Linked DNA regions of Stegostoma tigrinum. The protein of the gene in region 4 interacts with the protein of the main gene of each other region in a pairwise test. Links are inferred from orthologs where the notes say so. Each region holds a gene or a part of one and is shown on either strand. Other genes may lie near its edges.

The links.
Region 1: the proteins of rabac1 (region 4) and snx15 interact in binary tests that used the Homo sapiens proteins (3 or more experiments, as listed by UniProt). The two-hybrid records come from large-scale screens. The link is inferred for Stegostoma tigrinum from reciprocal best matches to the Homo sapiens genes RABAC1 and SNX15.
Region 2: the proteins of rabac1 (region 4) and rab33a interact in binary tests that used the Homo sapiens proteins (3 or more experiments, as listed by UniProt). The two-hybrid records come from large-scale screens. The link is inferred for Stegostoma tigrinum from reciprocal best matches to the Homo sapiens genes RABAC1 and RAB33A.
Region 3: the proteins of rabac1 (region 4) and synaptotagmin-16-like interact in binary tests that used the Homo sapiens proteins (3 or more experiments, as listed by UniProt). The link is inferred for Stegostoma tigrinum from reciprocal best matches to the Homo sapiens genes RABAC1 and SYT16.

What each region holds. Positions count from the first base shown.
Region 1 is NC_081395.1:12,627,331-12,634,189, reverse strand, and holds the start of snx15 (sorting nexin-15), read left to right. Parts: upstream 1-3,841; 5' UTR 3,842-3,848; coding exon 3,849-3,947; intron 3,948-6,132; coding exon 6,133-6,165; intron 6,166-6,859. Other genes in the region: arl2 (ADP-ribosylation factor-like protein 2), read left to right, coding at 1,444-1,578. UniProt on the Homo sapiens protein: May be involved in several stages of intracellular trafficking. Overexpression of SNX15 disrupts the normal trafficking of proteins from the plasma membrane to recycling endosomes or the TGN.
Region 2 is NC_081368.1:44,195,281-44,202,532, reverse strand, and holds the start of rab33a (ras-related protein Rab-33A), read right to left. Parts: upstream 3,015-7,252; 5' UTR 2,203-3,014; coding exon 1,948-2,202; intron 1-1,947.
Region 3 is NC_081363.1:29,171,323-29,178,558, forward strand, and holds the start of synaptotagmin-16-like, read right to left. Parts: upstream 3,021-7,236; 5' UTR 2,794-3,020; intron 1-2,793. UniProt on the Homo sapiens protein: May be involved in the trafficking and exocytosis of secretory vesicles in non-neuronal tissues. Is Ca(2+)-independent.
Region 4 is NC_081394.1:16,169,453-16,176,631, forward strand, and holds the start of rabac1 (prenylated Rab acceptor protein 1), read right to left. Parts: upstream 3,001-7,179; 5' UTR 2,891-3,000; intron 1,892-2,890; exon of another isoform or gene 1,876-1,891; 5' UTR 1,842-1,875; coding exon 1,774-1,841; intron 1-1,773. UniProt on the Homo sapiens protein: General Rab protein regulator required for vesicle formation from the Golgi complex. May control vesicle docking and fusion by mediating the action of Rab GTPases to the SNARE complexes.

The DNA.
Region 1 (6,859 bases), on a different chromosome or scaffold from region 4:
AATCAGGCTTGGGCTGAAAAGTGACAATTTACATTTGTGTCACACAAATGCCAGGCAATGACCATCTCGAACAAGAGGCAATCTAACCACTGCCCCTTGATATTCCTTGGTGTTAACCATCACTGAATCTCCCCACTGTCAACATCCTGGGGTTTACCGTTGATCAGAAACTCACCTGCACTTACTACATAAACACCACGGATACAAGAGCAAGTCAGAGGCTGGGAATACTGCAGCGAGTAACTCATCTCCTGACTCCTCAAAGCCTGTCCAACATCTACAAAGCATAATTCAGGAGTGTGAGGGAATACTCCCCACTCGCCCCTGGATGGGTGCAGCTCCAACAACATTCAAGAAGCTTGACACCATCCAGGACAAAGCAGCCCCTTTTGATTTGGCACCACATCCACTCTGTTCACCACTGACGCTCAGTAGCAGCAGTGTGTATCACCTACAAGATGCACTGCAGAAATTTGCTGAGGACCTTAGTACCTTCCAAACCTATGACCACTTCATCTGGAAGGATACGGACTGACTTGGAAATATATTGGCTGTTCCTTCACTGTTACGGGATCAAAATCCTGGAATTGCCTCTCTAACAGCATTGTTTACCTGTTGCATGTGGACTGCAGCGGCTCAGGAAGGCAGCTCACCACCACCTTCTCAAAGGCGACTAGGGACAAGCAATAAATGCAGAACGAGCCAGCCTTGCCTGAGGCTCCACAAAGAGAACTGGAAGGGCAGGAGACTATTCATCCTTGTATGATGGTGTGCTTCCAGTCACCGTGGTTGATCTGTGACCTAACTCCATGTTCCCCTTGTTTGACTCATCTCCCTTGACATATTTGTCATTGTGATCAAAAATGACCAATTCATCGTGAATTATTTGTGGTTTGTGGAAAGAGAGTTCCAAACCTCTCCCGCTCATGTCGAAACATCTCCTCATCTCCTTCCTGACAGGTCTGCTCATTTTTTCCACACGCTCTCTCTTGTCTCCTGTCACTCAGTTTCCAAACAAAGCTTTGCTTCCATGAACAGGAGGGAGAGAGAATCTGAGGTACTCAACCAGCCCGTACAGCCCTCTGAGATCTCTGTGTTCTAATTCTGGCCGGTTGAGTAGTCCTCAGTTCCCATCACACTTCCATTTCGGCAGTTGAGCAGCCTGGGGGACCTAAGCTCTGGAATTCCCTTCCTAAACCTGTTCTCTTTCCCCCCTGCCCACCCCCCTCCCACCACCACCACCCACCACCACCGAATGTTTTAATCCAACTTCTTTTGACCTGGTTTTTAGCCTCCTGTCAAACTGTACCGTGATATGGCTTGGTGTGCCTGGTTTGGGATGTCTCATTATGCAAGTGGTATTTCTATGATTGAAAATTGTTGTTGATAGATTTTTATTTTACACCTCCTAATCACCTTCTCCACCTCCACTTGGTTTCATAGGCCTTGGACCTTGACAGTATTAAGACCCACCACTGGTGTATTCGAGACTGCAGCGCAGTGACAGGGGAGAACTTGCTAGTTGGAATTGACTGGCTGATGGACGACATATCCTGCCGAATATTTACTGCAGACTGACACTACCGCCACCACCACCATCCCGCTCACCTCTCCTCCCCCTCTCACTACAGCAGCAGCCCTGCCTATCACAATGTAACCATCACACGGGCTGTCTGATCCCCACTCTGTTTGGTTTGTATTTTTGAGAGGCGGGAGAGCACTGGAGGGTGTACGCAGAGTTTGAGCACGGTGGCAAACGTCCTGAATGTCGGGAGCAGAGAAATGCTGAGTCCTGCGTCTTCATCTGGGAAAATGTTCACTTTGTTAAAATGTACATCTTTTCTGATGGACATGGGGACACAGTTCCGGATTGCTTCCTTTACAAAATCTGATGACTATTGAAGTTGGTCATTTTCACCTCTTGAGCACTGTTCAGGATGCTTCTACTGATGCAATAGGACCATCTCTCCCTCATTGTTCACCGTCATCTAGCTGTTTCTATCCCTCTGCTTCCCCATCTGCCACTTCATTTCTCCCACTGTCTCCCTCTCCTCTCTCTCCCCCTTCTTCTTCCTGTTGCATACCCACCTCCTTCTTCTACTCCCTGTCCCTTATCTCAGCCCTCCTTCCTCTTCAACCCCTTCCCCTTTACCTCCCTGCCCAATCGGTTTCTACACGGGTGTGGATATTTGTGCCACTTGACACAAGCTGTGGACTTGCCCTGTTGGCGTTTTGCTGCTTGTTTGTGTTTTGAGCCCAGTTTTCACAGCAACTGTTGGGAGGCCTGAGCCCACCAGGTGGTGGTGGTTAGGATGTGGGAAATGCACTGATGACTTTGTTTGTATTGTCTTTCTGTTTCATTCTTGTTTAAATTATTTTACAGTGCAGAACATTACATTTAAAGAAAAACAGAATGGTCCCTCTGTGTTGAATTATTCCATATTATGTACCTTCTCCAATGTGCTGTTGGCACCATACCATTCACCAATGCAGCTTTTAACAGAAATGCTACACCTCATTCCACCCTCAAGCTCCCTGGCCCTGACTGCTCCTAAGCTTGAGACTTCTCCTGGGGAATTTGCTTAGCCCAGTAAGTGGGGGAGACTTTCGCTTCAATATCTTGACCATTGTCCTTCATACTTTTGCCAGCTCTGTGATTACCTTGTCTCACCCCATTTCACTCAAACCTCTCACACTGAGCTTGCTCCGTTAGAGTACCTCTGCAAACTGTCTCCAGGACTCTGCTTCTTGTACCTGTCCAGCAATGATCAAACTCTCACTTACCCTCCATAGTCCCACCGCCCCAGATTCCACCAGTCAATGCTCAAAGCTCCATCAGTTCCATTATTTTTCTCCCAAGTTGTAAGATTGTGGATTCAAACCCAACCTTGGAGACTCTTGGGCATTATCCAATGTAATGATTATTGATTGACCTGCGATGTTAAGACTGCTTCCCTCCACAAACATTGCTGGCTGCCCTTGGGTTGGTCTGGCAATTTTTTTTTCTTAGTTTTGATTTGCAGCACCCACTTTTGTGTGGCTAAGACTGAGCAAGTGCTGCTGTGTCAGAGGTGCCATCTTTGATGTTGTAAAGACCGTGTTGCATTCGGCCTTCACAAGCAGGTGGGAAAGATACCAAGGCCAGTGGCTGATCCTGGCATCTTGGGCTCAATATGTACCCATCAATTGTCATCACTTCCAAAGTAATGCAATTGGATGTGGAAGGAGCTACAAAAACGGAAGGTGGCTTATGGGTTAGCACTGCTGCCTCACAGGGCTGGGAACCTGGGTGCAATTCCATCCTCGGGTGACTGTACAAACTCCACATACAAATCCTTCCCGTGTACAGGCTAGGTGGATTGGCCAATGCAAAATTGGCCCATAGTGTTCAGGGATGTGCAGGCTAGGTGGGTTAACCATGGAAGATGGTGGGGTTAGGGTTGGGGTTTGGGTTACTGAGGCGTGCTGTTGGTAGGGTCAGTGTGGATTCGATGGGCTGAATGCCGTACATTGATTCTGTGGGAAAAAGTGGGAAGTGGGCTGAGCAGCTGAATTGGAGGTCACCTTGTGTCTTTATGGGGATGAAGCTGGGCAAACATGTTATTGGGAAGTTATTGCGAGTGAAGGAGCTGAGTGTAGTCTAAGGTGGTTATATAGAACAGTGCAATTGGCATTGACCCTGACAGCTGTGGGAGGGGCCTGCTGTGCGCCTGCACCCACACGGCAGTGGGCGTGTTCAATTCTGCGCCTGCGCACTAACGGCGGAGGGTTCCTCCCGGTGCTGTGGCTGCGCCCCAGTGGTGATGGGCGGGGCCGGTGGAGCGCCTGCGCTCTGGTCTGCACTCAGGATGTCATGGAGGAGGGGAAAGGCGGACGAAGTCCGGTACCGAGTGACGGAGCCGCGGCAGCACCCACACGGCTACACCGAGTACCGGGTCACCGTCACGGTAAGGGGAGACTGCAACCTACCAGCGGGGAAGTAAGGAGAGCCTACATGACCCCTTACCTGGGACCCCTGACACTGCACCCAACCCCAACCCCTTACCTCAACACCTCATCCCTCCCTCACCTTCCTAACCAAAGTGACTCCTCAGCCTGACCCTCAGCGCTGAGGGAGTGGGCACTGTCGGAGGGTCAGTGCTGAGGGAGTGGGCACTGTCGGAGGGTCAGTGCTGAGGGAGCGCCGCACTGTCGGAGGGTCAGTGCTGAGGGAGCGCCGCACTGTCGGAGGGTCAGTGCTGAGGGAGCGCCGCACTGTCGGAGGGTCAGTGCTGAGGGAGCGGGCACTGTCGGAAGGTCAGTGCTGAGGGAGTGGGCACTGTCGGAGGGTCAGTGCTGAGGGAGCGCCGCACTGTCGGAGGGTCAGTGTTGAGGGAGCGGGCACTGTCGGAGGGTCAGTGCTGAGGGAGCAGGCACTGTCGGAGGGTCAGTGCTGAGGGAGCGGGCACTGTCGGAGGGTCAGTGCTGAGGGAGCGGGCACTTTCAGAGGGTCAGTGCTGAGGGAGCGGGCACTTTCGGAGGGTCAGTGCTGAGGGAGTGGGCACTGTCGGAGGGTCAGTGCTGAGGGAGTGGGCACTGTCGGAGGGTCAGTGCTGAGGGAGTGGGCACTTTCGGAGGGTCAGTGCTGAGGGAGTGGGCACTGTCGGAGGGTCAGTGCTGAGGGAGTGGGCACTTTCAGAGGGTCAGTGCTGAGGGAGTGGGCACTGTCGGAGGGTCAGTGCTGAGGGAGAGGGCACTTTCAGAGGGTCAGTGCTGAGGGAGCGGACAGTGTCGGAGGGTCAGTGCTGAGAGAGCGGACAGTGTCGGAGGGTCAGTGCTGAGGGAGTGCCACACTGTCGGAGGGTCAGCGCCGAGGGAGCGGGCGCTGTCGGAGGGTCAGCGCCGAGGGAGCGGGCGCTGTCGGACGGTCAGCGCCGAGGGAGCGCCGTGCTGTCGGTGGGTTGGGCGCCGCGCTGTCGGTGGGGTCAGCGCCGAGGGGACGCCGTGCTGTTGAAGTGCCAGTTCTCAAATGAGATAAATGATTGATTTTTTGTCACATACATCTCGGGAGACACTGAAACATTTTATGTCGTCACACTCTGGCACGATTGTTAAGAATAAAAAGGACGTAATTAGATCGAGTTCACCTTCATTGGCCAGGGTCCGAAACACTGCTCCAGGACTTCTGTACAGTCCCTGATCTGGGTCTCCCACGGCCTGGAGTCTCTACGCTCGTCACCAGTTGCAGCCTCAGTTGATGACCTGCTGCTGCGGAAGGAGTCTGCGTTCCAGGCCTACAGCAGCCAGGCGCCTTCGTTCTCCCATTGTTGATGCCCTGCCAATTCCAGGTGTCCGGGCATTGGGCCCTATGAGCCAGGAGTCACCCCCCCACGCTGTTGTAGCCTTCTCGTGGTGTTGGGAAGGTGAAGAAAAGACAAAAAAGAGAGGGAGAAGAAGAATGCCGCTCAACTGGAGCGGATAGGCTGTTCCCGAGCGTTGCTGTCTGTGCCAGCACTGCCCTTGTGATGTGTAATGATCGAAGATGTTTAACAGCTCGTGGAAGGATGTGAATAATCGTTTGGCTGTGATTGAAGGAGAGCAGGATCGGACGGGATTGCGAAGAATTCTCTGCAGTGTCCAGAGTCCGATACTTATCCCATAATGAACATCACTGAAAAACACGTGGCCTGGTGACTTCTGTGACACCATTTGGGGGAGCTTGCTGTGGGCTACTCGGCTGCTGCATTTTCTCCATTCCAGTGGCATCCATCCTGTCATGAAAGTCAGCATTGACAAGGAAGTGCTGTTTTGGAATGTGGTGGCACAGTGACAGGCAATACAGAAGTGCACCTCTTTGCTTTTGTTCCCAGAGCCTTGAGGATAGTGTGTATTGGGGGGTGGGTGTGGTGGGGGGGGTGGAGCTCGATAGAGCTCTCGGTCCATCGGAAGTCCCTAATGCAGAGGTGTGCTGACTGACGGACAGGAACCTTTAATAGCAGCGTGAAGTGGGATGTTTGGCAGGGGACTGTGATTCCTCACAGCTAGTGGGTTGGTTATCTGCATTTGGGGATGCCTCAGCAAGTGTGTTTACTCCTACACTACACCTCTGTGACCTGTACTGTTTGTTCTTTCTACACCCACTCCCAACTACAGATCTTTTCCAAGAAGACTGCAGACGTCAAAGAGGTAAGTGCAGGTGTGAGGATTCAAGTCTGGCTGTGTACAGGCGGAGGAGGTGTGGGTTGTAGAAGTTGGGGGCAAGGCATGTTCAGCTCCTCAGGCTCTGGTCTCTTGTCACCAAGCCACATCCCTCAACCTACCTGTTGCTCGCAATCCGCCAATCTGGGTCCAAACCCAGATCCTGCCCACCCCCCCAACCACCCCATTCGACTTGAGGGAGAAGATGTCACATCTCCTCAGAAGGGCTTAGCTGTCGTTTTTAAAGTTCTGATCCTGACGCAACCTCGTCCTGGCTTTCCCTCACCTCAACTCCCATTTTATTCTGTTCCCGCCCCACCCCAACCACTAGACAATATAATTTCTCTCTGTCAGCCCCTTTGAACATCTCAAACCCTCGATTGAATTCCTCCACCCATCTGCCCAATGTAATTGCAAAGTGCTGGAACTAGCCAGAGAGGGAAGTGTTTTAATGAGTCAAACCTTTTGGTTTGATTTATTGTTGCCATGTGCACCTAAGTACAGTGAAAAGTTCTGTTTTGCCTGCAGTACGTGCACCTCATACCATACAAGGACGCACAGATCATAGAGTGATTCAACAGAGTGAGGAGTACAGAGTTACTGCTGCACAGGAGGTATACAAAAGCAAGACCAACATTAGATTTGAAATTTGACAGGTCCATTCACCAGTCTCGACACAATG
Region 2 (7,252 bases), on a different chromosome or scaffold from region 4:
TGCTAACAAAGGATGTTATCTATTGATTTAATTATAGAATCCCCTAAAACTACCACTTTTTTTTTGCTCCCCCCTCTGGAATGGCCTCCTGTACCACACTGCAGTGGTCAGTTGGCTCATCCTCCCCACAGCCCTTTTCCTCATCCACACAGGGAACAAGTACCTCGTTCCTGTTGGACAGGTCAACAGCTGAGGCTCCTTTGTTCCTGAATACATGATCCCTCTACCTGCCACACTTGCAGTCACCCCCGACCACTCACCAAATTTGAGGTTCTTAATCTAGGTGTGACTGCCTCCTGAAAGAAAGCAGCCAGGTAACGCTCTCCCTCCCACATGCAATGCAGTGTCCAAAGCTCAGACTCCAGCTCAATTCTGAGCCAAAGCTCCTCCAGCAACCAACATTTGCTACAGATGTGATCACTGCAGCTTGCAATGGGATCCACCAGCTCCCACATCATACAGCTACAACACAAATAGGGCAAAAGAGGAGAAGAAGTGAAGAGCAATGACAACAAGATCAAAATGGGGCTGAAGGTGACAGCAACATTTAGCTTCCTGGCCGCAAATTCCTTTCACACTTCAATTATGGGCTTGTATGGCACCTCTGAACTGGCAGCCCACAAGTTCATTCATGGACTTACTGAAGCTCTATCCAGGGAAATAATTCAGTTTGCCCTATTCATCAAGGCCTCAGACAGCCTAGCTGCCCAAGCAGTGAGATTTGCATTCATTGCCATGTTACACACCAGGTACAAGAGGCAAACACCCGCCCACCTTGGTACTCAGTGCTCCCTGGCAGCCAGCCAGATTTCTGAACAGGAAGTGATTTCATTCCCTCAATATCCAGGTTTTTGTGATCACAGACAATAATTCCTGCAGGTGTGCTTTGCAATGCAGGAAACAGTCACATCATTTATATCTTCTGTAACCCTCAGGTTCTTGGAATGTTCCCTCCCTAATACTTCAAACATCATCTCTAGGGCAGTCTCATGGGTGATAAAACATATCTCCATTGAGAATAATCTGACTAGAAGACCCTTGAACTAATAATGGTGAACAGCAATAAAATGCTACCCATGCATTCACTGAAGCCATAAGTGAGCAAACAAATGATCTTCTCCATACGTAGCTGGAGTATCCAGTCTTCTCTGGACAGAGTCTCCAGAGCAGAGAATGTTTGTTACATAATGCATAATCTAGCTCAATAACAAAGTGAGAATTTAGAAAAGGGGGAAATGCAGAACCACCTGACTCCTCCAGATGAGGAAGAAGTGGAGTCTGATAGAGATGTTGAGGATGACAATGTTAATGTTGAGAAAGCCAAGGCATTTGTGAGATGAGGTAGACAGACCAACAAGAGCCATTGTATATTGTTTGTTCCCTTTGCACCAATCAACTTCTGTTCACTTTGATGACCAAGGCATAAGAATGGTGTTCTGTGGGCTTAAATGAAGGCCATGCTTGTATCACACAAACCTTTGTCTGCAAGCGGTATTTACCTGTCACAGAGATGAAAAGGGGCAACACTGTGCTAACTAATTCAGAAAATAATGGTGTGGCTTGCCTGCCCACTTCCCAGAGGGTTTTCTCCTCCCAAGTATGAGCTGGTGCTACCTCAACAGCATCAGCTGAGCTAGTGGATACCTGCAATATTATGCCTCCACCTACTCTGCTGGAAATGCTAGCCTTCTCCATGTCATCGACAAGTTGGGAGATGAGTCTTTCTCCCTCATGGGGAGGTTTGAGAAGAAGATATGACTTAGAGCGCTGGTGGGCCTCATTCTCACAGAAATATGAAGCCTGGCATCGTCATGAAAACAAGTTTCCCTTGGATTAGACAATATTCCGCCAATGACGAAGGGAACTAGAATTATCACAAAGGAAATGCAATTGGTCGATCGTGTGAAAATCGAACCTGGACAATGCGGGTTCCATAAAGCTTCTTACCTTAATTGTTTCTCCTTCTATATTCACCGGTTTCTCGCGAAAATCTACCCCAATGGTGGCTTCGGTCTTGTCGGGAAACGTCCCCCCACAAAACCTGAAGGTCAGACAAGTCTTGCCAACGTTGGAGTCCCCGATTACAATAATTTTAAATATTCGCGCTTGCACGGACAGTTCCAAAGAAGATTCATAATCAGTAGAGACCTTCTTCGACCCGAATCCCCGGGAATCGCCATTCGCCGTCAACTGCCTTGCCATATTGGAATCTTCTTTGTATTATTCACGAAAGCTGAAACAAAATCTCCGCAATGGAAAAAAAATTCTCACGCTCCAGAAGGAATACGGCCGCCCTTATCTAGCGGTGATACCGCAACCGGCTGTCAAATAAAAAGACTGAACATCAAAAATTATATATACAACACTCGGATCGGGGCTGAGGCTGTCTGAATCAGCATTGTCAACTGCAGGGCGAAGCTTGTCGTCTTCAGTGTGGAAAGAATGGGAGTGATGATAAGCCTGGAGATGTTATGGGGCTGCTCCCCTGTTCATTCCCTCTCGCTGTGAAAGCTGTTGTGTGTGTGTGTGTATGTGTTCCCTGGTGCTGATTAATGGGGCCACGCAGTAACCGACAAGGTGAAATTGACGCAGTGATGATGGCAGAGCGCCAACAGCGGGACAAAGCACTGTTCCCAGCACAAGGCACCCGTCACTCGTCACTTAAATATAACGTCTCCCTGTGCTATGCAAAGCATTCTAAATAAGCGATCTTCTTTCTTTCGTGCAAATTGTACTTTTAATTACTACAATGTCGTAATTAGTATAATTCGATTTCTTCACTTCTCACACTCGTCCTTATCACTTAGATTCTTGTAAACTGTGAACCTCACTGGGATTGTCGTCGGACTAAAGTGAGGATCATATGTCCTATGTCCATACCTAATTCGGACCAGCAATATTGACCGCCAGGGCAAACCTTGGTTGATTTTCCAGCCCTCCTTCATTGATCAGGGCATCAAGGTTATTTGTTGAAATTGCAAAAGGTGTTCCCTGATGGGATCGGCAGCTCAGCCCACGTCCAGACTAGAAATGAAATTGCTTTGCTGCCACCGCGGGTAGATAACATTGAAATAACGTCGCGCAAATAGAAAAGTTGCTCAGGCAACGCAGAGGTGAAGACAATGTACACAAAGCTAAAAATGGAGGAGAGATTTTGAAGGACCAAAAGCATGTGAGGATGAGATGAATTCTCAGGAGGACGTTAAAGGGTAATAAATGACAAGAGATGTGAACACTTCAGGCAAGAGATACATTGAGGCATTTAATGTTGCTTTAGTTTAAGCTCGTTCATTTAGTTGTTTTAAAATTATCATTCCTATAATGACAATCTGGTCAGTTAATGTCTATATTGAGAGAAAGTTAAGAATAGTATTCCTGGTATTTAGTACTGGATACATTGCCTCTTAACAAATAATGTTTCCGAGCCATTACATATGGAGTGCACCTAACATGGAAGCAATAACATGCGGTTCCTTTGATGGTCTCTTTAAAATTGTGCTGTGGCTCACAAGACAGAAATTCTCAGTAATAGACAAAATATATTTTTATTAATGGAGAAACACCAGCTAGATCAAATCAAACTTAATAATGTACAAAATAGCACGCGAAACAAGCTAACTACAATGGCAATAACAGCAAAACACTTAATAAAAAGACGAAAGATATTTGGGGATAGTAGGAACTGCAGATGCTGGAGAATCTGAGATAACAAGGTGTAGAGCTGGATGAACACAGCAGGCCAAGCAGCATCAGAGGAGCAGGAAGGCTGACGTTTCAGGCCTCGATCCTTCTTCAGTGTGATAACGGCTGCAAGCTGTAGGGAGATTCACAGTCCTTACCACTGGAACTGGATCTACCTACTGGCAATGATCTTGTGTGTGCTGATGCGCAACAGCATGGCCACGTTAAAAAATCTTTCTGGACACTCATCGGCAAGCGGAAATATGGAAAAGGAACCTGAGAAAGGAATGCCAGCAATTTCAAGAACCAATTCCACTTCCTAGAGATACCTGCCAATTGTGTAGTTGGTGATGTTTCTGTAGGATCGGGCTCATCAGCCACACTGACACCCACCTATAACCAGTCACACGGAATTTCCTAGGTGGACAATCATACGTGTTAGTAAGTGATAACTGATGACAACGACAAAAACAAAAGCTGAAATAAAAACAGAAAATATGAAATATTCACACGGGAGGAGAAAATAGAATTAATCAGATAGAGAGTTAATAGAGAACAATGACAATTCTTTCTTTGTGGATATTGTCCTGCTGTCCTGCTAACTATTTCTAGCATTCTCTAAAGAGCAAAGGTACTTGGATCTGTGCACTAAAGTAGTGCTAAACAAAAGGGAGGGCTCACGGCCGGCAAAGACTACACAGCACTGCTACGATCACTGTCAGCTACTATACTAAAGAAAACTGTATACAGTTAAGATATTGAAATGTAAATTAATCACATAGGGTTAGGGTCATTGATTGATTAATTGTCATGTGTACTGAAATATAGTGAAAAGTTTTGTTTGAGTGGGACAGAGATCACAGCAAGCAAAGGATGTACAGATCAAGAGACAGTAGGAACTGCAGATGCTGGAGAATCTGAGATAACAAGGTGTAGAGCTGGATAAACACAGCAGGCCAAGCAGCATCATAGGAGCAGGAAAGCTGACATTTTGGGCCTAGGCCCTTCTTCAGAAAATGTCTTACAGGCATACAGGTTACATTGCAGGCTATTTGAGGCTAGAATCCATTTAACAGTCTGATAACGGCTGGAATGAGGTTGTTCATGAACCTGCTCATTCATGTGTTCAGGCTTCTATATCTTTTGCCTGATGGAGGAGGTTGTAGTAGATCATTACTGCGTCATTGGACGTCTTTCTGCTTGCAGTGAGCTATGTAAATAGAGTCCATGGATGGAAGGTTGGCTTCTGTGATGATCTGGACTGGGACACCATCTTCTGTAGTTTGTTATAGTCCTGGGCACAGCAGTTGCCATACCAGACTGTTATGCACTCAGACAGTATGCTTTCAATGGTGCACCTGTAGAAGTTGGTGAGGGGCATTATGAACATAACAAATTCCTGAGCCGCCTGAGGAAGAAGAGGCATTGTTGTGCCTTCTTGACTGTCGCATTTACATGGGGAAGTGCAGGACAGGTCATCAGTTATCATCATTCTGAGGAACTTGATGCTCTTCTCTCTCTCAACCTCAGTTCCGTTGACATTGATGGGGGCAGGTTCTTTTTTTTCTGAAGAGGATGATCAGTTCTTTAGTTTTGCTGATGTTGAGGTGCAAATTGTTTTCATCGTAACACATCACAAAGCCCTCTACCTCCTTTCTGAATTTTGACTTATCGTTGTTAGACATCCATTCCACTATGGTGGTGTCATCAGCGATCTTGTGGATGGGCGGTCATTCAGAATTTGGCAACACAGTCGTAGATGTACAGGGAGTACAGTTGGGGGCTGAGGATGTATCTTTGGGCAGCTCTGGTGTTGAGTGTTATTGTGGAGGAGGAGCAGTTACTTATCCTCACTGATTGCGGCCTGTGGATCAGAAAGCTGACGATCCACACAGAGGGCAGAGCTGAGACCAAGGTCACACAGTTTTGAGATCAGCCTGGAGGGAATAGTGGTGTTGAAGTAGTCTGTAGTCAATGAGCAGGACTCTGACATAGGTGTCTTTGTTGTCTAGGTGTTCCAGGGATGAGTGCAGGGTTAGGGATGTGGCATCCTCTGTGGACCTTTTGTGTCAGTAGGCAAATTATAGGGGATTGGAGTCATTTGGGAGACTGGAGTTTTATTTTCAAACTAAGCAGAAAATCACTGCTGTCGCGGAGTTGGGAATAAAATAAAACTGCAAAGAAAAAAGGTGACAGGAGAGGACAGTGGCTATGAGAGTTGCTCTTTGTTTTGAGGTTATTTCTGTGCTCAGCTGCATTTACTGACTTTCCTGGGGCAGTAATTGCTATTTCTATAAATTTTGCATTGTTTTTGGAACTTTGTTTTAAATAGAGGGAACGAGAGACAGCAAACATGTGGCAAGATCAGCAATTGAAAAATTGCATAAGACTCCCTGACTGGCTTTTTAATCAAACAGCTGACCGAATATAGTTTCACAGTTGTCAGGCTGAGAAATTCCACAAAGGTCTGGAGATTGGTTTCACTTCCAGGTGAAAGATAACAGGGATGTTAAAAACATAATTATGACCATAGAATCCCCACAGTGTGGAAACAGACCCTTCAACCCAACAAGTCCACACTGACCCATCTCCTATAACTCACCTAAGCTCCACATCCCTGAACACTACAGGCAATTTAGCATGGCCAATCCACCTCACCTGTATATCTTTAGAATGTGGTAGGAAACCAAAGCATCCAGAGACAAGGGAGAATGTGCAAACTCCACACAGTCACCTGATGGTGGAATTGAACCCAGGTCCCTGGTGCTATGAAGCAGCAGTGCTAACCACTGAGCCACTGTGCCAGCCATGTTATTTGGTGCAAATGGTTTTAGAATCACTGAATCCCTACAATACAGAAAGAGGCCATTCAGCCCATCAAGTCTTCACTCAGCCAAGACTGGAATTGAACCCAGATCCCTGGTGCTGTGAAGCAGCAGTGCTAAACACTTAGTCACTGTACCATTCGCTAAGTGAAGCAAGAAACCTAGGCTCGTCTGGGAGTCGAAGCCAGGACCTCTTGCATATCCACCCTGTACAGTACTCTAAGTGAGGATCGTACCCCTCGACCAACAAGCCATGCCCTAAATAACATACCTACAACAATATAATTGAATAAATTGCACCACGCCATAGTTTGCCTCATGCATTTCTTATCTCACTTAGACTCCCTACAGTGTGGAAACAGGACCTCCAGCCCAACAAGTCCACAAAGACTCTTTGAGCCTCCCAGTAGACCCATCCCTGCTAATGTACACATCCCTGAACACTATGGGGAATTTAGCATGACCAATCAACCTAGCCTGCACATCTTTGGACAGTGGGAGGAAACCCACACAGACAAAGGGAGAATGTGCAAACTCCAGTTGCCCAAGAGTGGAGTTGAACGCAGGTCCCTGGTGCTGATGGGCAGCAGTGCAAACCAGAGCCACCTTGCCACCCCGCCACCCCATCTATACCACTAGTAATTAGTACAGCATAAGGCAGTAAAGTCTTCACCATAATCAGTCACCCTTGAGCACTTCAACCTCCTTGAAGTGTTTGTTATAGTGGCAATGTAGTGCCTACACAG
Region 3 (7,236 bases), on a different chromosome or scaffold from region 4:
CCTTCATCAGAGAGGGCGATGGGGTGAGGGTTCTGGAATAAATAGGGAGAGAGAGGGAGGTGGACCGAAGATGGAGAGAAAAGAAGATAGGTGGAGAGGGTATAGGTGGGGAGGTAGGGAGGGGATAGGTCAGTCTAGGGAAGACGGACAGGTCAAGGAGGTGGGATGAGGTGGTAGGTAGGAAATGGAGGTGATGCTTGAGGTGGGAGGAAGGGATGGGTGAAAGGAAGAGCAGGTTAGGGAGGCAGAGACAGGCTGGACTGGTTTTGGGATTCAGTGGGTGGAGGGGAAGAGCTGGGCTGGTTGTGTGGTGCAGTGGGGGGAGGGGACAAACTGGGCTGGTTTTGGGATGTGGTGGGGGAAGGGGAGATTTTGAAGCTGGTGAAGTCCACATTGATACCATTGGGCTGCAGGGTTCCCAAGCGGAATATGAGTTGCTGTTCCTGCAACCTTCGGGTGGCATCATTGTGGCACTGCAGGAGGCCCATGACGGACATGTCATCTAAAGAATGGGCGGGGGAGTGGAAATGGTTTGCGACTGGGAGGTGCAGTTGTTTATAGCGAACCGAGCGGTGACTCCCTTGTTCGCTCAACACTGCCCTCCAACCCCACCACACCCGGCACCTTCCCCTGCAACCACAGGAAATGCTACACTTGCCCCCACACCTCCTCCCTCACCCCTATCCCAGGCCCCAAGATGACTTTCCACATTAAGCAGAGGTTCACCTGCACATCTGCCAATGTGGTATACTGCATCCATTGTACCCGGTGTGGCTTCCTCTACATTGGGGAAACCAAGCGGAGGCTTGGGGACCGCTTTGCAGAACATCTCCACTTGGTTCGCAATAAACAACTGCACCTCCCAGTCGCAAACCATTTCCACTCCCCCTCCCATTCTTTAGATGACATGTCCATCATGGGCCTCCTGCAGTGCCACAATGATGCCACCCGAAGGTTGCAGGAACAGCAACTCATATTCCGCTTGGGAACCCTGCAACCCAATGGTATCAATGTGGACTTCACCAGCTTCAAAATCTCCCCTTCCCCCACCGCATCCCAAAATCAGCCCAGTTCGTCCCCTCCCCCCACCTGCACCACACAACCAGCCCAATTCTTCCCCTCCACCCACTGCATCCCAAAACCAGTCCAACCTGTCTCTGCCTCCCTAACCTGTTCTTCCTCTCACCCATCCCTTCCTCCCACCCCAAGCCGCACCTCCATCTCCTACCTACTAACCTCATCCCACCTCCTTGACCTGTCCGTCTTCCCTGGACTGACCTATCCCCTCCCTACCTCCCCACCTATACTCTCCTCTCCACTTATCTTCTTTTCTCTCCATCTTCGGTCCACCTCCCCCTCTCTCGCTATTTATTCCAGAACCCTCACCCCAACCCCCTCTCTGATGAAGGGTCTAGGCCCGAAACGTCAGCTTTTGTGCTCCTGAGATGCTGCTGGGCCTGCTGTGTTCATCCAGCCTCACATTTTATTATCTTGGATTCTCCAGCATCTGCAGTTCCCATTATCACCAGCCTGTCTCTGCCTCCCTAACCTGTTCTTCCTCTCACCCATCCCTTCCTCCCACCTCAAGCCGCACCTGCATTTCCTACCTACAACCTCATCCCACCTCCTTGACCTGTCTGTCTTCCCTGGACTGACCTATCCCCTCCCTACCTCCCCACCTATACTCTCCTCTCCACCTATCTTCTTTTCTCTCCATCTTCGGTCCGCCTCCCCCTCTCTCCCTATTTATTCCAGAACCCTCACCCCATCCCCCTCTCTGATGAAGGGTCTAGGCCCAAAACATCAGTTTTTGTGCTCCTGAGATGCCACTTGGCCTGCTGTGTTCATCCAGCCTCACACTTTATTATCTTAACTTCAAATGATCTGATTCAAACACAACTTCCGTGTATGTTTTCCCTGTTTGCATCATACATTTGGGAAATGAATGCATTAAGAAATTCGCACGTACAGTACCTCTTTAAGAGGCAGCTGATCAAGTTCTCCCACAGCTGCTTTTTGAAAAGTAAAGCCACGCCTCAAATGGTTTGCATTCCAGTTTCAATGTCAGTTCCAACCAAATGTTTGTGCAGACTCTGAGAACTCTTGTGGTTTATAAAATGATCAGAATTTCTGCAATTAGGGCCGGAGAAGAAATACCAGGCCTGGTCTGGTGACTTCCACATCCCAAGGTATAAGTATTGATCCATAATTAGTTATTCTTGCTGACATAACCCTATTATTACTGGTAATGCTTTTGGGGTATCAAATGACTCATGACCACCAAAAAATGGTTTGTAAATCTCATGAGTCTGAAGCCATTAACATTGAAGTTTAGAGGTAATAAAAGTGTAGGTTTGGGATTTGAGATTTAAAAACAAAAGAAAAATTGTTCCATAGTTAACATATAAAGAGGACACACAAAACGCTCCCATATCTGTCATAAATGTAAAAAAATTTGAGCCTTTTCTGGATGATGGGTTTATAGTTTTGGATGAAACATGAGAATGTACGACTTACGTCATGCTTCAAGATATTATCATGAAGGTTAATCAGAAAGCAAAAAGTCAATTAACGCTCACCAATGTTCGACATAACACAAGCCTGAGAAATAATTTCTTTTTGGCACCATGTATAGAGCATTATTGAAAAGTCAGCAGACACTGCTTAAATGGAGCAAAGCAGCAATACTACTCAAGTAGCATCAGGTTACCACACTGACTGCCCTCGTCATATCCAACTCCCAGCTGAAACTGCCTAAGGTGTGTTTCCAGGCCAACAAGTTTCAAATCCTACCTGAAAGTAACCATTAAGGTCCGTTCACTGACGCCTTGCTTTCAGCCCACAGGGAATCGTACATGGAACAAAGAAACCACGGAAAATCTGTTCTCCCTTCACTGTTTTGGGATTTTTATTTTTCCTTCAGTCAGAGAAGACTTCTTGACAATAGCCTTCTCCTTTGAGCACAACTTCCTGAAACTTTAGGTGTGGTTTGATTCATTAAGGGTTCTACTTACTCACAAAACAATGAGAATGTTTGCAAAGGAGGCCAGCTCACAAAACCACAGCCTTCTGATTTCAAACAGGTAGAATTACAGCAAGCCTGATTGGTTTACAGATTTTATACTAAAATTGAAATACCTTTGATGAAAATTGATGAGCTTTTCCAGACTCTAGTAAACTTACAATTTTTAAAAATCATTTTGCCGCTGTAGAATACTTGTGATACCATTATGCTGAAGCTCCAGGGCAATCATCCTTTGTAATTCATCTAACAGCACAACGGGTCCATGGCAGATGCCATCTCCTTGGCCCTAAACTCACCCCTGGCACATCTGGATAACAAACATACCTAAGTCAGGCTCCTACTTCTGGCACACAGCTCCACCTTCAACACTGTTATTCCAAATAAACTCATCTCTAAACTCCAAGACCTAGGTCTTGGCTCCCCACTCTGTAACTGGATCCTTGACTTGCTGACTCATAGACTGAAATCGGTAAGAATAGGCAACAACACCACAATGGAGGACCATGATAATCCTTAACACCAGTGTCCTGCAAGATTGCGTACTCAGCCTCCTACTATACACCTGATACACTCACGACTGTGTGACCACATTCTGCCCCAACTCCTTTTACAAGTTCGCTGACAACACCACCATTGTAGGTTGGATCTCAAACAACGATGAGACAAAGTACAGGAAGGAGAGTAAGTGCTTGGTGGCAGTGGTGTAAAGACACCAATCTCTCGAAGAACATCAGCAAAACAAAGGAGCTGGTCATTGACTTCAGGAAGTGAGTTGGGGGGGCACTCCCCTGCCTGCATCAATGATGCTGAGATGGAGATATTCAAGAGTGTCAATTTCCTGGAAGTGATGATCAGCAACAACCTGCTCTGGTCTACCCACGTCAACATGATGATCAAGAAAGCACAACACCATCACTCCTTCCTCAGGAGGCGAATAAATTTCAGCATGTCCACAATGACTCTTACTAATTTTTATAGCTACTTCACAGAAAACATCCTACATGGATGCATCACAGCATGGTTTGGCATTTGCTCTTCCCAAGACCGTAAGAAATTACACAGAATCATGAACATAGCCCAGGCCATCATACAAACAAGCTTCTATCCACTGACTCGATTTATACTTCTCACTGCCTCGGGAAAACAACAAAATAATCAAATACTCGCTTCCACCTGTTGGCAGCAGATCTGAAAGTTTCCGTATACGAACAGATTCAAGAACAGTTTCTTCTCCGCTGTTGTCAGACTTTTGAATGGACCTCTCAAATGTTAATTCTCTCCCTACACCTTCTCTGTGGCTAGAACACTGTATTTTGCGCTCTGTTCTGCTAGCCTGATGCACTTTGTATGGTATGATCTGCCTGTATAGCATGCACAACAACACTTTTCACTCTACCTCAGTACATGTGACAATAAATCAAATCAAATCATAATATATATTTTAAAAAGTCACTTCCTTGAACATTTTTGATTCTTAATTTTACCAAATACCAGTCTCTGTGGCTGAAGGGTTACTGATTGTTCCTGAACTACACAGATCTCGTGTGTTCTTCCTGTCCCCACCCCCAGTTTAAGAATTCTTCCATTTCTTCAGTTTCCTCACCGAAAGGTCCTTATGTGGAATTTCCTGCTTTTGTTGTGGAAGCCATCAAAACAGGCCAAATGCCCTCCATCCCCATTACTGCACTGCAGATGGGAAAGCCTACTGGATCACACGCCTATCACTTAGTTGACTTTCCTTTGGGATCCCTTCCTGGTGATATCCTGCCCACATGTGAAACTGCCGACTAATCAGAGGTCACGTCAGTCGGACAAACTACTGTGGCACTGCCATGTGGAAGTTCAGAACAGCTGATACTAGGGGGCACATTTTATGATGGTGCTGGCACCTGTGTGGAGTTTGCATGTCCTCCCTGTGTCTGCATGGGTTTCTTCTAGGCGCTCTAGTTTCCTCTCCTTGTCCAAAGATGTGCAGGTTAGTTGGATTGGCCATGCTAAATTTTCTACGGTGTCCAGGGGTGTGCAGAGTAGGTGGGTTAGCCATGGGAAATGTACGGTATGGGGACAGGGTGAGATGCTCTTTGGCGGAGGATGTAGACTTGATGGACCAAATGGCCTCTTTTTGTCCTGTAGGGATTCTATGATTCTTGTCCTCTGGAAACAAGTGATAATCAGGGTGGTAACAATGTACAGGCCCATAAACTAGTCACTAATTTACCACTTAACAGTATCAATTGATTGCCTAGAACTTAATTCCTGTGGTACCCAGAAAGCAGTGTGAATCAGCCAACCTGCCCAATTGTCTTTCTGTGGCGTGATAATGGGAACTGCAGATGCTGGAGAATCCAAGATAACAAAGTGTGGAGCTGGATGAACACTGCAGGCCAAGCAGCTTTTGTGCTCCTGAGATGCTGCTTGGCCTGCTGTGTTCATTCAGCTCCACACTTTGTTACCCTGTCTTTCTGTGGAGGACAGCTCTCCAAATTGTTGCAGAAACTCTGTAATTAGGGCTTTGTAGGGTGGGCAGGGCAGGTGTTCTGTTTTTCCAAAACTAACATTGAAAGCAGGTAGTTCATCCACTTTCATTCTTTGACTTGTTTTTGGTTTGGTATGACTGAGTTTTTTTGCTCAGGCATTTCAGAGGACATTTGGAGTCAAGCCCATTACTGTGGCTCTGAAATCACAGGTAAGGGTGGCAGATTTCATTCGCTGAAGGACATTAATGAACAGATGGATTTCTTACACCAACTACTGATAATGTCATGGTTACATCTTTGAAACCAGTTTTCAATTCCAGCACTTCTTTAATTAAAACAAAATGCATGAATTGAATTTAAATTCAATTTCTCACGAGGGTGAGATGTAAACTCACACTACCAGGGCTTTAGTCTTGGCCTCCGGATTATTAATCTAGTGACAATGATCTTATCGAACATTGAATGATGCACTGCAGAAATTCACCAAAGATCCTTCAACAGCTCCTTCCAAACCCACAACCACATCCATCTAGAAAGACAAAGGCAGCAGATATATGGGAACACCAGCACCTTCAAGTTCCTATCCAAGCCACTCACCATCGTGACTGGGAAATACATCGTTGTTCCTTCACCGTCACTGGGTCAAAATGCTGGAATTCCACCATCCCCCACCCCAACCAATGGCATTGTGGGTCAACCTACAGCAGGAGGACTGCAGTGGTTCAAGAAGGCAGTTCACCACCACCTTCTCAAGGGCAACTAGGGATGGGCAAGAAATGCTGGCTCAGCCAGCGACGTCCACACCTCACAAATGAATAGAAAAAAAGCCTCAGCATCATAGTGCAGTTGGTCTCAAAGCTGCACTAAGTTGAAAACCCAAAAGGCTAAAATGGTACATGCTTCGTTGCCTCACTGTAGGATGGAATCTCATTCTAAATCACAGTGACAACTTCACAGCAGAGCTGACAGTGCTCACAACAAACAGTGACTGGGACGTGAGTGTGTTTTCTTACCACTTCCATACCATTATCTGCAATATCTTCAGGCTGAGCTTGATCAGTTTGGAACAGGGCCTATTTTATCTCCACTGCCAGTTAATGAAATCAAATGTCAGACTGACAATCTAAACAAAATTATTCAGTAACTTATAAAAACACCCAGTGAGACACCAATGCAGTATCCAGTGGATGTAGTGAGAGTGGGAGTAAATTACATAAGTAGTAATTTAATTAAGGACTTCAGTGATGTTGAACAATGAAAACAAAGCTTAATAATTTATTAAATGAGAAAATAATACAAGAGGTAATTTCAAGCTGCCCACCAGTTTTTATTGGATAACACCAATAGAGATGTCAAGCAAAATGTATCCATGTATTCAATTCATTTAAATACACGAGTGGAAACCATTCTTCCACAATTTTTCTGCCCTTTCAATCACTTGATTTCCCCATATTCAGGGGCTCACCAATGCCTGTCATTATCCATAAACTAGCCATTTTACTTTGCTTTATTATAGAGTTGGTATTGCAAGTACATTTTGCTCACTTACTGACAGGGCGGTGTGACCAATTACTATCCATGGGGTTACTCTCGGTCATCAGCAGACTGACAGACAGCTTCCACCAAGCAGGAATCACAAGCTCCAGTGCTGTGCCTGACCCAGAGCGTCCAGGTTCAGCCCTGAGCACAAAGGACCCATCCCTGAGAGTACTGAGCCCTGGTTATTGGGCCAAG
Region 4 (7,179 bases):
AAATGATACAGAATATATGTCGACTCCCTCAATATATTTAGGTAGTGAGCAAATATTTCTTACCAAATCACAAATTATTTAAACTCAATTCATGCTCAAGTCTCTCAACTACTCCTGGTTCATGTTATCAGGGCTGTTCTCTGTTCAGTTCAAACTTCCTGGCATCACTGTATCTTTGTTAATCAACACTTTTTTGATATTGCTAAAATGTGTCAAATCTCGTACTCATCTTAAATTTGCAGAATACCAATAAAGGAGAATCCAATATTTATACTGTTTGAAAGGAGAATCCAATATTTATACTGTTTGAAATGAGAATGGTGATTGATTGGCCAGAGTGCCTGATTGCCAGAGGCATTTCCATGGAGATCACACCAGTTAAAAAATAATGACTGATTGTTAACAGCCAAGCTTTATCTAAGTTTAAATCAGGCAGATTAGTCTGATTTCTGTGAACAATGCTTTGGCCAATGCATCAGGGAATGGCTGTCTCCTATTGTTGAGTTGAAACAAGGGCAGTGATAAAGCTCGCCAGTCTGGCTTATGATGTGGTGCACTGGCGTGTACTGCAAACTAAATATATTGACACACAATGCGATGTCCTTTTTAGATAGAAAGAACATGTGAATGCATTGCATCTCCTTCAATATCAATACATTTAACAACTGTAGCTTTTTGTTCCTTGATCCAAGTTATTGATACAAACTGTTTAAAAAATTAAGGCCCCAGCACTGATCCCTGTGAGAAACGAAACACTATATCTGGCCAAATGGAGAACTTATGTATACTGTTTTCTGCCAGGGAATAAATCCATGCCAATATACTGCCCCCCGCCACAACAACCTTTGATATTGCAATTTATCAACAATTTCTGGAAATGAAAGTACACTTTGTCCATTGCTTTCCCTTTAACCATAGCAAAAGGTTTTCTAAAATAAAAATGAACAAGGAGAGTGGGCAATCTCACACAAGCTTTGTAAACTGAGTCTATGATTCAATGACTTTATGGATAATCTACAGTATGGAAGCAGGCCATTTGACCCACTGAATCCACACTGACTGTCCGAAGAGCATCCCACCTACACTTACCTCCCACTACCCTATCCCTGCAACCCCACATTTCCAAGGCTAATCCACCTAGTCTGCACATCCTTGGACTCTCTGGGGCAATTTAACACGGCCAATCCACCCTAATCTGCATGTCTTTAGACTCGGGGAGGAAACCCACGCAGCCACAGGGAGAATGCCTGCGTGGAGTTTGCACAGTCAACCAAGGATGGAATTGAATCTGGGTCCCTGGCACTGAGAGGGAGCAGTAATGACCACCGTGACACCGTGAGATCCACCAAAATGACAGCACTAGAGCTTAGTGAAACCAAGAACTGGATGGGGCAACTGTGTGAAACAGCTTCCATCCCAGGTCCCTAGTGGAATGCAGGAGGGTTCTGACATACACAGCCCTCCACTGGAGAAGAACACAGTTCTCATTTCCTCCCCTTTTCTATCAAGATTTCACCCAAACAGAAATGACATTATACAATGTTGACGGCAGTGAGATTTTACTTCCTGCTGCTTAGATATTTTAATCACCCTCTTCAGCCATGTTCTAACACAATCTTAGAACATGGAAGAATCCAACTTTCAATAGAAGAGGCAGAGAGCCACACCTGCTCTCAAACCACTCCAAACCATTTCTTAAAGGGACCTGGGATCCTAACCGAGTGGGACTGTGAGCTGGGATATCCTGCCAGCAAAGGCTTCATGTGACTTCACCTGCCAGTCACCCCGCTTGCTTCGTCCTCTTTGGTTAGGGAGAACACGTCCTCAGGCTTCGAGCTCATGTTGTCCTGAAAGCACTCAGAGTGATGAGAACACCTGGAACAAAGAAAGACTGGAAAAGGGATCTTCAAAAGTAAAGTGATTGACTTTCACCAAAGTCAGGAAGACTAGAGATAACATCATAGCAATAAAATAGTTCACAGTGTCTAGGAATATCCCTATCCTATCGATCTGTCTATAATGGTCTGGTGGGACCTACAGCGTCTCTGTAGGATCTACACTGGGTCAAGCAGGTGTGTGCATGGCGAGTATGAGGTTTCTGTGCGGTCTCTGACAACTATGTGTCTATAGGTTGTCTAATGGCTTCTCAATAGGATGGCTATCCGGACCCACGAGGGGGTGGGCCACACCGGACAGACACGGGGGGGGGGGGGGGGGCAGCGCACACACGGGACCTACTCGGTGTTGAGGGGCAGCACACACAGGACCTACAAGGTGTTGGCAGGTTGGGGGGGGGGGGGGGGCGGTGTCACACCACAGCGACACGGGATCGATCGAGCGAGCGGGCGGGCGAGCGGGGGCACACGGGATCGATCGATCGAGCGAGCGGGCGGGGGCACACGGGATCGATCGAGCGGGCGGGGGCACACGGGATCGATCGAGCGGGCGGGGGCACACGGGATCGATCGAGCGGGCGGGCGGGGGCACACGGGATCGATCGAGCGGGCGGGCGGGGGCACACGGGATCGATCGAGCGGGCGGGCGGGGGCACACGGGATCGATCGAGCGGGCGGGCGGGGGCACACGGGATCGATCGAGCGGGCGGGCGGGGGCACACGGGATCGATCGATCGAGCGGGCGGACACGGGATCGATCGAGCGGGCGGGCGGGGGCACACGGGATCGGGGGCACACACAGGACCTACATGGGATTGGGGTGGGGGGGGGCCGACACACGGGATCTATGGAGAACCAATAGAGAGTACCGTGGAACCCACAGAGTATTTTTAGATGTACACGGGGTTTATAGGGAGTGTGTACAGGAGATCCATATGGTCTCTACAGGGTATACACGGTATTCACAGGCTGTGGGCAATAATATAAATTCCTACCGGCTTCGCTTTCTTCTTGTGACCCGTTGGCAAAGGATATAGCGTCATAGGCTTTTCTGATTCTATTTCCTCTACCAGAAACGGCCCGTGTCCAGTCTCTTGACCAATCAGCGATCGGTATCTAAGCTTCGGGCGACGGATGACCCAATGAGAGGCGGTATCTGGGCGCAATACAATCGGGCACCCAATTAGAGGGCGGTAAACAAGAGGGAACCCGCTCACCGATCGGTATCTGGGCGGAACGTAACGGGACATCCAATCAGAGAGCAGTATCCTGGCGGTATATAATCGGACACCCAATTAGAGGGCGCTTTTCATAGGCGGGTGTGGCTTTCATGATTTGGGGAGGTGGGATCACTGCCGGATCAAAACAGCACTTGAAATTGCCTCTACTGACCAATCATTACTTTTTTTTAAGATTCCCTCCAGTGTGGAAACAGTCCCTTCGGCCCAACAAGTCCACACCGCCCCTTGAAATATCCCACTTGGACCCATCCCCCTATAACCCACACACCCCTGAACACTATAGGCAATTTAGCATGGCCAGTCCACCTAGCCTGCACATCTTTGGACTGTGGGAGGAAACCAGAGCACCCGGAGGAAACCCACGCAGACATGGGGAGAATGTGCAAACTCCACACAGATGGTCGCCTGAGGCTGGAATGGAACCCGGGTCCCTGGTGATGTGAGGCTGCAGTGCTAACCACTGAGCCACCGTGCAGCCCCTATTGATGCTGCTTGGCCCCCCCCCCCCCCCCCCCGTGCCAATCAGCTCCACACCCCGACACCCCAAGTCCAGCCCCCCCCACCTCCTCCCCAGGAACCAGCCCCAGTCCCACCAGCGGCCACTGTCCAAACCCGGTTCAGCTAAATATCACAATCTACTGTTGTATAGATGGGGAGAATGGAACATTCTGACAATATTGCATTTTGGTAAAACGAACAAGGGTGGAACTTATACAATTAAAAATAGGGTGTCGGGTAGTGTTGTAGAACAGAAGGACCTAAGAGTTCAGGTAGATAATTCTATGAAGTTTACATCACATATAGAAAGGGTTGTTAAGAATATGTTGGGCACACTTGCCTTCATTGCTCAGTCCTTTCAGTATAGGAGTTAGGATATTACGTTGAGGTTGTACAAGATGTTGATGAGACCCCTTTCAGAGTACTGTGTCCAGTTCTGGTTGCCCACTTATAGGAAGAATGTTGATAAACTGGAGAAGGTTTAGGAGAGATTGACCAGGATTTACTGGGATTGGAGGGTTTAAGGAGATGCTGGAACAGCTTTACTAGACCATAAAAAAGTTTATAAAATCATGAGGGGTATAGATAAGGTGAATGACAGGGGTTTCCCCGAGGCTGGGGTATTTCAAGACTATGGGACATTTTTCAAAGTGAGAGGAGAGAGATTTAAAAGGAATACAAAGGGCAACTTCTTTATGCAGAGTCCATGTGTGGAACAAACTTCCAGAGAAAGCAGCTGGATGTAGGTACAGTTAAAATGTCTAAAAGACATATAGATAAGTACATGAATAGGAAAGGTTTGGAGGCCAAGAGCTGGCAGGTGGGACAAGTTTAGTTTGGGATTATAGTTGGCATGGACTGTTTGTTCCGAAGGGTGTGTGTCCATCTGAATGACTCAATTATTACAATTATCATTATATGCATGACACCAATCTGAGGATAGGTAGTAAATTCTTGCAGACTAAGTGTACACATGGGTTTAATATAAATGTTGTCGATAGTGTGGAATTTGGAAGATTCAGTGACAGTCATTCCAGGCCATGCATGCACGGAATTTGCCTTCAATTTCCACAACACACATTGTGTCCTCTCACTTATATCTAAAATGTACACCGTTAGCCTTGCTGTCTATTTTTTGATGTCTTGAAAATGAATTCTCCTCACAGTGGTGCAGTGGTGCCCCACAATGGTCTGAGAACGTTATTACAATGTGACATTCTGTAATAGGCAGCATACCTTGCAAGGATGGTGGTGGGTGGGACAGTTCAGGCCTTCTTTTCTAGGAGGAAGCGAAAGCCCTGAGACCATCCTGGGAAGGGACTGCACGCCGTGGTGAAGAGGAGGTGACTGGAGCCAGTGCACTGGAAATTCTGAAACTGACATAAAGCTTCAGAGGATTGTGGATGTAAATGGGAAAGGACTGGATAAAGGGAGGAAAAAATCAAGGTGAGGTTAGAAGAGATAAGTTCCATGGGCAGGAACAGGCAGAAACAATGGATCTACTGGGACAGTGCTGTTTGTGGATTTTAGTAAGAAGGCAGAAGGAGGATCCCAGGCAGCAAAGACAAGTTGGCCTGAGTGGCCTGTTTCCATGCTTTATGGATGTGTTTGGGGGCTGTATGCTTGGAGTCTTTGGGGGGAGAAATTCTCCGGATGAGATGAGGTTAGTAACTGTTGGGTGGAAAGACTCATTAATCACTTAGCACCCAGATTCTGCTTCCAGCATCAAATAATTTATTGAAGTTACACCAGTGGGAAGAAATGGTGGGATGGGGGGGGGGCGGTGTCAGAGCTTTCTCATTGAACAAAGGGAAGACATAAACTTTTATACATTTGCTTTAGACCTGCATTTGGTAATTAAAGACCAATCATATTATTAATTAATTACAACTCCCAAATTAATCATGTGACTGTATGGTCAGTGACGGGCAGCCTCATTGACAACCCTTGGTCTGCCATGATCCCAAGGTGTTTCCCAGATACCTTTATCTCTATCCTTTGCCCATCCCCAACACAGCACACTTGCCTTCATTGCTCAGTCATAGAACATAGAACATAGAACATTACAGCACAGTACAGGCCCTTCGGCCCTTGATGTTGTGCCGACCTGTCATACCGATCTCAAGCCCATCTAACCTACACTATTCCATGTATGTCCATATGCTTGACCGATGACGACTTAAATGTAGCTAAAGTTGGCGAATCTACTACCGAGTATTGCAGTTAGGTCATTATGTTGAGATTGTACAGGGATTTGGTGAGGCTGCTTTTGGAATACTGTGTCCAGTTCTGATTGCCCTGTAATGGGAAGGATAGTATTAAATTGGTAGGGTTCTTAAGAGATCTACCTACCAGGATGTTGCCCGAAATGGAGGGTTTGAGTATCAGGAGAGACTGATAGGCTGGGGCTTTCTTCACTGGGGCATAGGTAGTTGAGAGGTGACCTTTTAGAAGCTTACAAAATAATGAGGGGTATAGATAAGGTGAATGGCAGGTTTTTTTCCACCTTGGGGGGTGGGATTTCAAGACAAGAGGATATATTTTTAAGGTGAAAGGAGAAAGACTTAAAAAAGACATGGGGGTAACTTTTTTACACAGAACGGTTTATGTAGGGAATGAACTGCCGAAGGAAGTGATGGATGTGGGCACTGTTATAATGTTTAAAAGACATTTAAATAAGTACATGAATAGGAAATGTTTGGAGGGGTATAGGCCAAGTGCAGGCAGGTAGGACTAGTTTAGTTTGGGGTTACGTTCGGCATGGAATTATTTAGAGTCTATTTCCATGCTCTATGACTCTATGCTGTATTTAACTACATTTCAATACTGTTGACTTCTACACCTGATGTTGAGGTACTGGTGTTGGATTAGGGTGGACAGGATTAAAAATCACAAATGCAAATTCAACCCAGGAATCTCAACTGTGCCCCATGGTTCTAGACTCCCCAACTAGGAGGAACGAGCTCTGTGCATCAAGTGCAGGAACAGCTCGCCAGCATATTCCGCAGTGGAGAAAAATAAGCAATTACAGAGCCAATGACGTATGTTCAGTGATGGTAATTATTTCAAAACCCTATGGAGAGTGGGCCAGAGTGAATTCCTGTAAATTTCATCAGTGAACTAGAGCCTGGAAAAATTAGCAATTGATAAATTGTTAGTGAAATTAAACACTGAGGTTGTAGGACTGCTCTCTTGCTCTTGTGCCACTATTTCACAGGTCACAACATAAAATAAAACTGTCTTGTCCAATTACCAAGACAGTGAATTAAATATTTTATCGATATCGGGCTTTAAATAAAAAGGTCTATCAACCAGGCTTTTTAATAAATGGATTTGTTATCAAAACAAAATTTATTCAATAAAGATCCAATAATTTGTTAATGTATGCAGCCAAAAGTGTCAAAATATACATTGTTATTCAGATAATGACCCGTTAACTCTGCCTCCTCCCTCCTAACAAAACCCCAACACATGTCAAGGGGTTATCTCCAATTCCTTGGGCTTTCATTTTTGCTAACAGTCTGTCATATGGAACCAAATGCAGT